Drosophila melanogaster: one gene and its partner. The protein of the gene in region 2 interacts with the protein of the main gene of each other region in a pairwise test. Each region holds a gene or a part of one and is shown on either strand. Other genes may lie near its edges.

The links.
Region 1: the proteins of GATAe (region 2) and Paris interact in a two-hybrid assay, tested with the Drosophila melanogaster proteins (one large-scale study listed by BioGRID).

What each region holds. Positions count from the first base shown.
Region 1 is NT_033779.5:4,461,076-4,465,575, forward strand, and holds Paris (parkin interacting substrate), read left to right. Parts: upstream 1-2,535; 5' UTR 2,536-2,711; intron 2,712-2,765; 5' UTR 2,766-2,770; coding exon 2,771-3,811; 3' UTR 3,812-4,000; downstream 4,001-4,500. Other genes in the region: CG15435 (uncharacterized protein), read left to right, coding at 1-484; CG15443 (uncharacterized protein), read right to left, coding at 749-1,488, 1,549-1,885; FIG4 phosphoinositide 5-phosphatase, read left to right, coding at 4,163-4,243, 4,305-4,500.
Region 2 is NT_033777.3:16,009,542-16,019,350, forward strand, and holds GATAe (GATAe), read left to right. Parts: upstream 1-2,732; 5' UTR 2,733-3,197; coding exon 3,198-3,242; intron 3,243-6,686; coding exon 6,687-7,024; intron 7,025-7,167; coding exon 7,168-8,101; intron 8,102-8,169; coding exon 8,170-8,665; intron 8,666-8,723; coding exon 8,724-9,054; intron 9,055-9,115; coding exon 9,116-9,212; 3' UTR 9,213-9,592; downstream 9,593-9,809.

The sequences.
Region 1 (4,500 bases), on a different chromosome or scaffold from region 2:
GGTGAAGGTGTCCAACGGTGAGAAGATAGCTGAGCCGCCAATTCCCATAGATATACCCGATCCCCGGCCGGTGCAGGAACCATCTCTATTCGACTGTGCCAGCGGAACGACGACTCCGATCACGGAGGAGAACAACGTGCTGTACGCCATTGAGCGCTCTGAAAGTTGCCATTCCCAGGGCACGCCGACGGTGAAAAAACCCATTCCCATTCGCGGAAAGGCGGCGCTGGGAATCGGGCTGGACAAGCACAGGGAGAGAGCCACGTTCCTCGAGAAGCTGCAACGGGCCGCTGTCTCTCCTGGCACAGTTTCGCAGGGTCCAGCGCCCGTTTTCTCAGCCCGCTGCGGGCAGTGCAATTTAGAATTTGACTCAGTCTCCGAACTGGAGGTGCACAACCACAATGCCCACAGGGGCAATGAACTGAACGCCGACGACGAAGCCAAAAGGCGTCAAATAATCGCCCTCTTCGAGGATGATATTTAGGTTTTACAAAGTCCTGTTTTTCATGCCGGTGGCTCAATCAAACTAGTAATCATGTTGACCACTTTGCATCTGTGTTTTTGTCGTATTGTATTTATTTATTATTTATTTATTTTATTCTGTTTCCATTAGTGATTTAGTTTTGCTTAGCGGCAATCCATGTTCATTTACAATACATTCTCGAGTACTCAAAAGTCCGTGGCTTTATATTTATATGTACTCTAAGACCAATAAAGAGATTTGCAAGACTTATTCTTAACCATAAGCCTATGCGTATATTTGCAAGCTATTCAGTACCAGGTTGGAATCTGCTACCTTCAAGTGCAGACAGTTCTTGAGCAAGCGCATCGCGTCCAGGTTGAGATCTGGATCTCGCAGAGCGAAGAGCTGGTTTAGGGTTTGCACAAGATTCTGCGGGTCTGCCAGTGCGAATATTAGACTTGTGTCACCTAGGGCTACCAGATTGGTCATTACACGCACGGCGTAGATTAGGCACAGCCGGTCGGCTGGCGATGCTAAGGTGGCTTCAAAGAAACGCACCAGGCATTCGGCCTGTTGAGCATCTAACTTGTGCTCCTGTGTCACTATTTCCAGTTGGTGCACTATGTACATGAAGTACTCGCTGGCAGGCTGGCCGTGGAGCTTCTCAGGCAGATTCTGGCCAATGTACCTTCGATCCTCGTCACTCACATGCTGCGGGCAGCGGGTGGCCACCAGGGAGAGGCAGATGGCCGCATCTTCTTGGCAGCCATTGGGCTCGATGTAGAGCCTCCACAGCTTGGGTACTATTTGCATTTGCAGCAATACGCTGCCGGCCTTGTCGCATGTGCCCAGAACGTTGGCCAGTGTCCACAGGCAACTGCGCTTGAGGCGTTCGGCCTTGCCATCAAGGTAGGTGACCATGTAGCTGCCCGCCAAAGTGACAATCTTTTCGGAGACATGGGCCTCGCCCAAGGAAAGATTACACAAGCACTCCACGGCATCTGTCTGTCGTTGAATGTGAGGTCCTGAAAGTCAAGTCAACCTTTTTATATAAAACTAAAGCTAATGAGGGTGCAGTTGGTTACCAGTTAGCTCCTTAACCAGAACCTGAATGGCGCCAGGAATAGCTGCGAATGCATTGATGTTGTCATTGCTCTGGAGGAACCCCAGCGACAAGCGGCACAGATCCTCGGAGGTGGCGTGCTTGCGACGCTTGATCCTGCTGGCCATTCCAATGACGTCCTTGGTGCCCATCTCAAGAGCCGCCACTTCCTGCTTAACCTGTCCAAGTCCAATGCGCAATGAGTCTTTCGCCTTTATGCGGCACTCAACACGGTGATCCTTGGCATATGCACGAATCTTGTTTCGCAGAAAACTTCCCTCCCCAGTTGTCGTCACAAAGTCCATTTGTTTAAATTTCATGGAATCCTTAGCAAGTGAGCAATATTCCGATAATAATAACAGATTATCGATAACTATGAAAGGTTAACAGCACTTCACTCATCAGCTGTTAAAATTGTAAACAAAAAAGGTACGCACTTGTTTGTTTATATTTTATTTGGAGTAAGTAATGCTTATTTAATTTCAGGTCAATGGTGGTAATCTGAGCCCGGAATCGATGGATAAACATATTCAGTGGCACCCAGGAACCCGATTTTTCATATGTGAATTTATTTTTATACTGGCAAAGAAGTTCGGCGAGGAGATTCATTTCCTTTTTGTGCCTTTTTAATTTAATTTTTCTATGATTTCCACGGAAAAAGTCCAGTGCTCCTTCTGTCCAAAATTATTCACCACTAGCTAGGCGAAAATGTGAAAAAACTATACGAAGATAAATGTTTGTTTTTCCAAAGAAATTTATTTCAATTTTATATTCTTCAACAGGTAAAGGATATCGATATCCGATAAGAATTTTCCCATCAAAACTTGGGCTGACCACCACAGGGCGACCCTTGCAAGTTTGCGTTTATCTCAGCTGTTAAATATGGTAAACACACCTTAGTTTCAAAAATCATCATTTTGATAAATAATTTGAATTTCGAACATCGATAATAAATCGATTTAGCATATGGCCCAGAGAATAGGGTGCCCAGTGTACTGTGCACAATGTGAAGTTTAGCTTATTATTATTTTGAATTGTTCATCAAGGCAATCGCATTAATTTTCAATTAATTGGGATGTATGAAACGGATTCCTAAATTATAAAAGATTGCTTTTCCAGCTATAAGCTATTTAGTATATACATCAGGTAAGTAATATAGTCCTTCATAAAGTTCAGCCTAATAAGTATTGTTTATTACAGGGATAATGGCGGAAATATGCCGAGTTTGTATGGATATTTCTGGTAAACTCGTTAACATATTTGACGCCAGACGAAGAACCAGAGTTTCCATTGCCGAGATGATCGCGCAGTGCACCGGATTCGAGGTCAAACGTGGCGATTTGTTTTCGGAAATGATATGCCCACAGTGCTATGAGGACGTAAAGAGCGCGTATGGGATAAGGCAAACTTGTGAGGAAAGCCACCAGTTCTACTGCCGAGTTCGCGATGAAGGCATCGAGGATGCTTTATGCGCCTTGCTCGAAGAAGAAGACTGGGAGATTTCGGAAGACGAAGATGCGCGGATTGATTCTGCATCCGCTGCTGATGACGATGGGAAAAGCGACAGCAAGAAGGTAGCATTCGAATGTCGAGAATGCCACAAGAAATACCAGCGAAAGGGAACTTTTCTGAGGCACATGCGAACACACATGGACGGACAATCCTTCCCATGCCCCTACTGCAAGCGGAACTTTAGACTTAGAGTCACTCTCAAGGCGCACATGAAGACCCACAATGCAGCGAAACCCTACGAGTGTTCCCACTGCGCCAAGACCTTTGCGCAGCAGTCCACTCTGCAGTCGCATGAGCGAACTCACACTGGCGAACGACCATTCAAGTGTTCACAGTGCTCAAAAACCTTTATTAAATCATCCGATCTCCGGCGTCACATCCGCACACATGGCAGCGAGAGACCGTTCAAGTGCTCCAAGTGCACGAAAACATTTACGAGGAAGTTTCACCTTGATAACCATTTCCGTTCTCACACTGGTGAACGACCATTCAAGTGTTCCCACTGCCCCAAGGCCTTCGCTATGAAGCAGCACCTCAAGCAGCACAGCCGCCTGCACTTACCAGATCGTCCATTTCGCTGCTCCCACTGTCCCAAGACTTTTCGGCTGAGCAGCACTCTCAAGGAGCACAAGCTCGTACACAACGCTGAAAGAACATTTAAGTGTCCTCACTGTGCCAGTTTCTATAAGCAGAGAAAAACACTTGCTAGACATATCCTCGAGATACACAAGTGACCACTACTTTAAAAACACTTGGAAGACATATCTTCCATGTGCACTACTTTAAAATGGACAAAAATGATTTTGCTAGATGATAAAATAAGCTAACATATTCATAGGTATTGTAAGAATAAGGCATAAAATTGGTTGGTAATGAATATGCCTATTTTGATATGTTTTATGATGGAATAAAATGTTATTTATATTTGATTGAACCAAAACAAAATTAATTAATCGACTCCCTCTCACGCTGCCAACACTGGCCATTTCTCGCATATCCAACTACAGATGATGATCAGCTGTTTGTTGTTTATGTGGGAGCGGCCTGAGAAATTGTAACAAAAAAATTTCGGAAAAGCTGAAAAAATGAACAATGATAATCCGAATATAGTTTTCAATCCCCTGATAAGCTCCATCCAAAAAGTAGTGCTCTATGAGACACGAGCGGTAAGAAATCACCTCCAGCTGACCTTTTTTTGACTAATCACATATATCGCCATAATTTCAGCGCCTCTATTTGGTGGGCAGCAACAATCGGGAGACTCGGTTTCGCCTCCTGACCATAGACCGACTTGCCCACAACCGGCTGAGTATCGAGGAGAATGCCAACGAGTTTAACAGCCTGGAGATCCGACGTTTTGTCGCTTCCCTTTCGGGTTCGCCCAAGGTGACGTCCGCTTATGGCGTCCTTGGATTTGTGCGCT
Region 2 (9,809 bases):
GATAAAAATTGTATTAGTTTTGGTTATAAATAATAAGTTATTGGTTTAATAACATACTTACCGCTCCTCAACAAGCTCCTCCACAAAAACTCTTGTTTCTTCTCTGATATCCGAACTTTCCCCTGACTCACTCGAAAGATACATCACTGTCCGAGTGTCCAATCCATAAATAAACGAATGAACATTCGTTAGCCAAGTGACAACTCTTCGGAGCGTAAACAAAGAAAGCTTAACTTTTTCCTTGCCAGCTCCTTCTGCGGAATTGGACCTCCTGCTCTTCCAGCTGGTAGGCAGTGCCTCTTCCTCCACCTGGGACCATGAAATCCCGCAGTGCGGAGTGCGCAGTTCCATTTTCATAACTCATGTCCGAAATGTTGTTAGCGTGCTTTGGCCGGATGATTTATGACCTCGGCGCGGGTTAATAGAATTTACTTGAACCCAATTTGCCAGCGGTTGCAAAGCGCAGAGTGCAGCCGCCCAAAAGGGAGAGCCATTACGGCACTTCCATTTGCATCTCCATCTTTCCATTCCATTTTTATTCGATTGAGCCACGCCATTGCGGCTGGCAGGGATTGGGCAACCAGCCATGCGGGGTGGGACTTTGGATCGAATCGGATCGCACCCCTGCTGCCGACTATAATTAAAACTATGGCGCACGCCTTTGTTGCCACTGGCACGTTTAATTTCCAAAGAGTTCTTCCCCTTATCAGAACAACCCGTTTGTGCCGCCAAACAAAATTGGAAAAAGACCAAAAAGGAAAGCTAGAAAAATAATACAATTATAACCAAAACAAGAGCGCAATAAAGAATATATAAAAATTAAATTCCATAGCGTCATTCCAGACAAAGATCGGCGATACTGTCAACTGGCCGAGAACACTTGAGGCTAGATAACTTTTAGGCTATGGTTTCTTAAGGTTTTGGTTCGCTTCTATGGTCTTTCACGGACATAGCACTTGAAACTCCATGGAGGTGGACAAGTTGAAGGGTGTACGATTCCGGGTGTACACGATATGCCATGGTCAGCAATCTTAAGACTCTGTCTGTTTCGCCGCCCCTAAGTCTTCCGTCTTAGGGTCGTAAATTCGCCGGCAAAGCACCTAAAGCTAGGCGCGGCGGTGCCATCAATTAGGGTATTAATTGCCCGGCTCTGCCGTGGCAAGAGAGCCACCTCGATGAGTCAGTCCTGTGGCCGGGTATCCAGTTTGGAGTCCTCCTCCTCAGCATTAATCTCCTGTAATGTTGATTTCGTGTAGCGCCATTTGTAACGATCGAAACTGGCATAGCCGTCAACTTTTTGAGTGATTAATCACCGCACAGATATTTCGCGACACGCAGCAGTAGCTACTATTAGATACTTTTTGTCTGCCGGTTTTGCTCTTAAGATTTGCCCATGATTTATGCACCGCATGCGTTGCAACAATTAAAATTATCGCCTCAACTCGATTTCCATTCATGGGAGCAGCGGAAAGTTGCCCGTAATTGTGGCATTATAAGCAACTCCGAGGGGATTGTGCATGTTAATGGCCGTCATATATCTGCTTGCTTTATGACTTTAACTATAAACAATTTATGATTCGCTGGGCCAACTTGGCTGGGTGGCCAAGATATGTGGCTAACTTACAGATTGCAGCTCTTCGAAGAAAAGAAAGCAAGGAGTTGGTACGGATTGCCATAGGGGCTTAGCATTAAGCATATAAGCCTAGATTGAATTTTTTAGAATTTAAGTCATGGTTTTCATATACATTTTATTATAAAATGTACTATTTAGCTACTACATCCCTATATATAGTAAAGATATGTTTACAATATTTATCTACACATACATCTCTGCTTACAAAGTATCTGTAATTGACAGGTTGAAAAATATATCAGATTTCTGACCAAGCACTCCAATCACCCAACCACTTCAAACTCAATCTTTTCCTGGCTGGTGACAATTCAGGGGTTTTGCAATATATGCGCCGCACCTGATCCTCGACCACGTGTGCTCCTGCCCTCCACCTCCGCCTCCTCCGGCGGTGTTTATTAGTTACAACACTCGAGAGTGGATTGTGAAGTGTGGAGAACTAGAAGAACTGGAGAAGTGGAAGTGGAGCGCAACAACCGAGCAGTCGAGCTGTCAAAGCGGCCCACATTCGGGCGACTGTTCGTGGGGTCATATAAAGTTTCCGTGCCCATGCCCATGCCCAGTCCCACTTTCCAGGCCCAAGCCCGATCCGATGATATTCTGTTGACGTTGACTAACGTTGCTCGAGTTTATTAGTTTGCCAGAAAAGTGTTTTATGAGTGCAATTAGAAAATGCGCTAGACTAAATTGCACAATTGACAAATAGCAGGGGGCGAGGGTGAGGAGCGCTGAAGGGTGGAAATGGAATCAAATGTGGTGCTGGCTGAACTGTGCCGGCTGGTGGGCCTCTTGACGCCACTCTTCGGAAACCTCGGAACATTGGTGTAACATAGGTGTGTTGGAAAATCGGCCGAGCGCGCAGGCGCAATTTGTATCTCACGGATACTTATCGCAACCGTGGCACCAACACTCGTTGCGTATCTTATCGCATGTGTGTCGATAAGATAACCAATACCAGGCGAGGCGGTACAGAATAAATCATAACGCTGCCACACCGACAGGACCACGCACCCACACAGGTGTGAGGCCGCCCAACCGCAGAGGCGCTGGATCTTCATCGGTGTGGGTAGCTAATTGGGCGGCAAACGCGCCGCAGGCACCGCATTGCGTCGCCGTCGTTGTTGTCATCGCAAGTGAGGTGCTTGGTGCTCAGAGTGCTCAGTGTTTAGTGTATCGAGCCCATAGACCGGAGACCAGTGCCACCACCAGAGCCCAGTTGGTCTCGAAAAAATAGCACTTCGTATCACTGCTAACTGGCAAAGGTTGCGCGCGGGCCACAACCACAATCGCCCCACGGGTGACAGCATTAGATCGCCCCCAAAGCTCCAAAGTTCCTACTTTCCCAAGTTACCAATTTTCGTCAATTTTCGCCAATTTTCCCCACTTGCTCACTTTGCGCGGCACTTTTTCGGGCGCCCAGATTGATAGGAGAAGTGAACCAAACACCTGGACAAGCCGTGCTTGTGATAAATTTTTGAAAACACAACAGAACTGAAATCAAGTGATAAAAACCAATCTTAGATAAAACGCTGGAAGAAACGCAAAGAAGCGGCGTAACTTCAATTTGATGGTCTGCAAAACTATCTCACCGAGTGTAAACATGCAGCTGAAGGTGGGTAAAATAAACTTATAATTATTCAAAAATAGTCAGCGTAATTTTTGGGTATTATATATTAAGTTTGCCAAGTCGGTATTTTCTTTTCAAAACCAATTCCGTTTAAAATCCATATCGGAATGGAGAATATCAACCTGACCGCTTAAAGCAACTATACGTGAACTCTATTAAAAACATTTAAATACCTTTTTGATGCTCATTTACGAGATCTCTATAAGCCTATCTATCATTTCTACTTTGTTGAAAGATCATAAAAGTTTTTAACGTTTTCTCACACAAGTTCATTAAGCTAAATAGACAGGCCATATAGGGTCATTAAAAGCAGATAGTTCAAGTTTATAGATCAGTCGCAAGGCACGAATAAATATTAATTTATTAATTAACGGAGTATAAAGAGCTTTCAAAGGTATTTACAGCTCGAATAGCCATATAGATTTTACATCCTTCGGTGTACCGAGCCAGAAAATGATTTTAGCCCGCAAACGGCAGCGATATGGATTTTTTTCAGTTCTAGCGCCAGGGAAATAAGATAAGACAAATTGATTTATAATGAATGAGTCATCTGGGATGCAGCGGCAAACTGCGACACTTATTTTGGTGTCTGCTCTTGGAAGAAAAACCGAACCGAAACGAACCGAAACCATTAAGAAAACGAGAATGGGTACGAAAACGGGGCAACAAGAAAGCAAGTTAAATGTGGAAAGATGGCTAATCTTTATGAGGTCCAAATTCAGCTGCGATCGAAGGTGGCGTCAAAATACCTTTGACAAAAATAAAATTTGAAACACGCAGCCGACTTTCAACTGCTCGCTCCTCTTCATTCATGAAAAGGGACTGTTTTTACCCATTTTTTGCTGGCCACGGATAATGTGAAATTTATGTCAATCTTATCACCTCGCTTTGGTCCTGCTCCTTATCCCTGTCTCTAGCGTATCCTTCATGGGCTTGGGGTTGGTTTTGTGAATGAATGCCAACCCTTGGCTCATCTGGGGGTACTTTTTATCCTGCCGGAAGTGTCCTTTCGACCAATGGAAGAACAGTCCCTTAACAGTTGCTCAATGGCGGCATCGATAGTTGCAGTTCCAGTTGCAGATACTTTTATTAGACACGCGTCGCCAGTTGACAGTGGATGATGGCTGATAGGAGAGAGGGCGAAGGTTGCGATTGATGGCCCTTTAATAGAGCTGTAAATGCAGCTGGCAGTCGAGAGTCTTATCTCACTTTCATTAGCCAACTGCAGTGAAGTTTAATTAATCGAAGGATCTTCTAACGAGGGCAGATATAAAGGGTATAAATGTATATCCAAAAATGGGTACATTTATTTACTTCCCATTCTTTTGTTAATTATATAGATATTTTGAAAGTGCTCTCACATCTTTAGCCTTTAAGCAGTCTTACCCAAGAAATTGTTCATATTTTTTTATAAGTCTAAAATAAAAAGTAAAACTGGCAAAGAATTTCCTCGAGAAATTTAGAATTTTAACAAAAATAGCATTCATCACAACTGCATTATATTCAAGTTTTATAGTTCTATTCAGTTCTAAATGCCTTAAAATGTTTGGTCAGAGCTGCCTTTGAAATTTGCTCAACCACGAACCCAAGCTCAACGAAAGCGAAACGAGGTGCGATTATATAGTCAATATCTTTTGTTTATATAGATAAAGTACGAAATGTACGTGTGTGTGTGTGTGTGTATGGTTGTGGGTGTGACTGGGCAGATTTCATTCATAAGTTCAGCGGACTCCACACCCTCGCAACGATTCTTGACTAAGCCGAGCAAATAGCGCATGCCATTGCCATTCTCGGGTGACAAACATCGCTTGCACAACTTTTGTAATTCTTGGATATATCTGTCCCTATTGATGACGTAGCCGCAACTGAGAGTGGGTGCGGGCAGTTGGGGGATACCAACCATGACCTCTCAGTCCCAGCAGCAGCAGCAGCAGCTGATTATGTACATTGATAGCGCCCGGATAAGATATTGTCCGTATCGTTCGGCCGTAGTATCTTAACTTTTTCGCGGTACATGGCACGTGCATGGGGGCCTACCTATCGTACTACTACTATATACACACACTCAAAGTCGGGTTTATCTGCATTTCGGGCAGACGATTGTCTGAAGTGACGTTTGCACCACATTATCTCGCACCCTTTCCATCCAGGGAATTCTTTGAACTTTGGCCAAGACGTTGAAAACTTGGCACGGTCATCACCGCCGGCGGAATGCAATCAGTTTCCATGGAACTCTTTCGTCCCCCATTTATATGCCTTCCACATAAGTAATTAAACTTTGTACCTTGGTAAGCGTTAGATTTTTCATTTTTACGGCTTGTCACCAACTGAATCATCATTGAACTTGGCTTGTGTCCACGCAAAAAATGTATCAATCATTTGTGGCACGTCAACCTAAAGTTCTGCGAAAGTGAATCAATTTTCATTAAATGGAAGATAAAGTATTAGTTTTTTCATATAAAGGGAGAGTGGGGATTTTTATGGAATGTATTAAATCAATTCAGCGTGGTGATTATTTTCGGAAAAAAAAAACACCTGTACAAGTATATGGTTATATCTCAGTTAAAAGCAATTATCTTTGCAATATATTTCAATGGCCACAAAAATTTTCCTTTAGTGTTGCTGTGGATTTCCTCAATTGACGGTGGTGATGGTTACACATAAGCACACACATTTTTTGGTATATTTATAGCCATGGTAAAGGTGGAAACCACCTGAAAGCCTCTGAGCTATATGGCACTTGTCATGAGCGGACTGGCGGTAAATTTCAACCTGGCCGCATCGTGAATCAGGTGACAGTGACGATCGAATGTGTTGACACAAGCTCGAGGATGGGAATGGGGATGGGGATGGGTATGGGGCTTTGGAGTGGAAGTGGAAGTGCCACCCCCAACGGAATGAGGTCATAAACCCAAAAGCGACTGACGTATGGCGGGGAAAGCAAAGCGATTTTATGGCCAAGTTTAATTTCCGCCAAAAGCCAAACTAAACCAAAAAAAAAAAAAAAAAAAACCACGAATACACAAGAAAAATGAAAACGAAACCAAGGCACCGCTCTGAGTTTAGGGTTCTGTGAGCAAATACTTCTGCTGGTGGAAATGAAATGGAATAAAAGTGAAAAATGTGTTCGACAATGTTGACACTGAGCAACTGAGTGGTAGAAAGGAGAGGGGTCGCCTCCAAGCCCGTCTCCGTTCGGCTCAGTTTCTGGTACTTTACGGTTGTAGGCGACAAATTGAGCTGTGAGTCGAGCGCGGGCGGTGTCTTTGAAGTCCGTCTCAGCGGTCTTGGTTGGGCTTGCGTCTTGTTGACTTTTGTGGCGGAAACCGAGGCGGGCAGTTCGCACTGCAACGGCCGGAACTGGAGCCACACTTTTGAGACGAGCCGGGCGAAACATGGCATTCAACACTTGTCGCTTGCTCATTGCAGATGGAACAGCAGACAACGCAGCAGCAGCAGCAGCAACAGCAACAGCAACAGCAACAGCAACAATTGCAACAGCAACAGCATCAGGCTCTAACCAAGCAGCAGCTTCAACTGCTGGACAAAATCAAACTCGAGTCCAGCAACGGCGCCGATCAGTTGGCCCAGCAGACGGCCAACAATCTGGATGAGCAGCAGGAGCAGCAGCAACAACACCAACAGCAAGCCGCAACATCGGTGGGCGTGGTGGTGCAGACGGGCCAAGCGGGCGTCAGCGAACCGGAGGAGCAGTACGTGGTGGTGCCACGCAACCAGCGCCGTATTCTCACCACAGCCGGCACACTGTAAGTAACCTCTGGAGACCTTCTTTTCCTAAGAACATAAGCATTCACAAATTTCATTTTTAAACACAATCATCTAATGCAAATGGCAATCGATAGTTACAATTTACCATTGTTATTTAACAGTGTTATTAACAACATTTCAGTGAATTAAACGAAGCTCGTGAAGGAGAACCGAGCACAAACGCCAGCAACGCGAGCTCAGGATCTGCTTCGGATAGCCACATCGAGTACCAGCGCAGTGCACACCAATCTCCCGGAGCCACTCACTACGTGCAGATGGCGCCACGCAACGCAGAGGTGACGGAACAGGTGGGAGCTGCTGCCGGAGCTCCGCCGGGCACCATCTTCGCCTATCCTATTATCTGCAACGGTGACGATGTGGCCGCGATCAAAATCGAAACACTCGAGAAGGGAGAGGCGACGGGGGAGTCGCAACAACAGCAGCAGCAACTGCAGCAACACCAGCATCAGCAGCAACAGCAATGTCCCACACCCAACGGAGCTAGCTACGGCGAGACCATAGTGATCAGCAGCGAGGCGGAGGCACTGCAGCATCACCACCAACAGCAGCAGCAGCACCAGCAGCAGCAGCATCAGCAGCAACACCACCAACACCAGGCGGCAGCTGCAGCATCGGCGGCGGCCCAGACGGTTCACATTGCCACCAGTTCGCATGGTGGAACCGTGCGCTTCGTTACGGAGGATGTACGCTTCACCACCGCCGGACCGGAGACATCCGCCTCGAATATGTACTACGATGTACCCGTGGTGGATGGCAGTGTGCATGCCAACGAGTCCAAGACCTACGCCGACCTAGGCAACGCATATGCCCCCTTCCCGCCCAGCTCCAGCTTCAGTAGCAATAGCTATGCGGCAACGCTTCAGCAGGGAAACACTATTTACAGTGTTCCGGGCACCGGTCAATTCTTGGCCAAGTCCGAGTCTGGCCTAAATCAGACTGGACTGCTGCGCCAGACTGGACCGGCTACTTTTCAGACGATATCTTTTGAGGGCGGCAACGGCATCGAGCCTTTATGGGCATCTCCCGCCCCGCCGGAGTACCAGAGTGTTCAATTTGTAAGTATAATTTAAGTTACTGGTTCTTGAGGCGGTACATACTAACTGTTCTCCCGCATGCTGCACAGAGCAACTTCCATCCGCAGGTTATTGATGAATACGGGAGCGGCAATATGAGCACCTCCCACTGGCCGCCCGCCAGCAGCATAGGGCAGTACGATGGAAGTCTGGTGACCGCCTCGTCCACATCGTCGCCCAACCACGAGCTAAAGTGCGAGAACTGCCATGGGCCGTTCTTGCGGAAGGGTAGCGAGTACTTCTGTCCCAATTGCCCGGCCTTTATGCGGATGGCGCCCCGTATAACCCAGAGGCAGGCGAAGCCCAAGGCCGCCGCCGCCCCCAACAACCGGCGCAACGGGGTCACCTGCGCCAACTGTCAGACCAACTCGACGACCCTGTGGCGTCGCAACAACGAGGGCAATCCGGTGTGCAATGCCTGCGGACTGTACTACAAGCTGCACAACATGAACCGACCGCTGTCGATGAAGAAGGAGGGCATCCAGAAGCGCAAACGGAAGCCTAAGAACAACGGAGGAGCACCCATGCACCGAGCACCGCTGCCGAGTGAGTACACCTGCCAGGGATTACAGTATGCAATAAACTAATCCCAATTCCCAACCAGGCATGTCGCAGGGAGTCAACCTGATGGCCAACAGTCCGCTGTATCCTTCCCAAGTGCCAGTTAGCATGCTGAATAGCCAGCTTAATAGCCAGCAGAATTCCAGTCCGGAGCTGCACGACATGTCGACGACGGGTCAAGCGGGTGGGCAACGGGTGGTGTCCATTTCGCTGAATGCGACGGCGCCGCCCACCCCCGACGGAACGCTCAACATGTCCGCCCGTCATCACGTGACCGGCGAGAGCCATTCTCCTTACAGTCAGCAATCAACGCCACAGAGTCAATCGCCCCATCTGCCCGGCACGGTGCCGATAAACCGTCAGATAGTTCAGCCGTAAGTTAAAGATACTTTTCGCTACCCTGTCGGACTCCTCAATAATAATCATACCTTATAGAGTACCCACCATCGAAAGCAGTCGCAGCTCCAACACTGAACTGACCCCCAGCGTAATCACGCGCACTGGTCTGCCAGAGCGATCATCGAATAACTAAGCTAGCTTTGACTTATGGCTTAAGCTACGCACTAAAGTAACCTATAGTTAACCAAACCCAAATTTCAAAAATTGCCAAAATATTTATTTAAGCCCTAGCCGTTAGTCATACTATATAGCCAAGACCAATGTCCCAGTTAGAGGAAGATTTTGCCGGGTTTTCCGGGTCTTGAGTAACCATTTAACTGTGCAAATGTCTTCCTCCTTTTAGTCAACTGCTTACAGCAAATAGTTTTGAAATGATTTGTGCCAACCACTTAGGATCGCTATACTCTATATAGAGGTAGTTTAGCCCAAGACAGCACAAGCCCATAATGAAGCCTACGATTTTGTATGTTTAAGCCTCTTTTTAATTCTACAAAATAAATAAGTTGTAAACGCAAGGCACTCGGACTTTGATGGCTTTACCAGGATGCGAGGTACCTTGGTGGAGATCGTTATATTTCATTGTCAACAATTTGGCAGCCAACCAAATTGATCCAAATTAATTTTAATGACCCCCACGGACCACAGCGCGAGACCATAAAATCTTAACAAGTTGGCAGGCAAGAGACCCGCGATGGGGCAACCCAGAGACGAGGAACCCAGATCTCGCGCG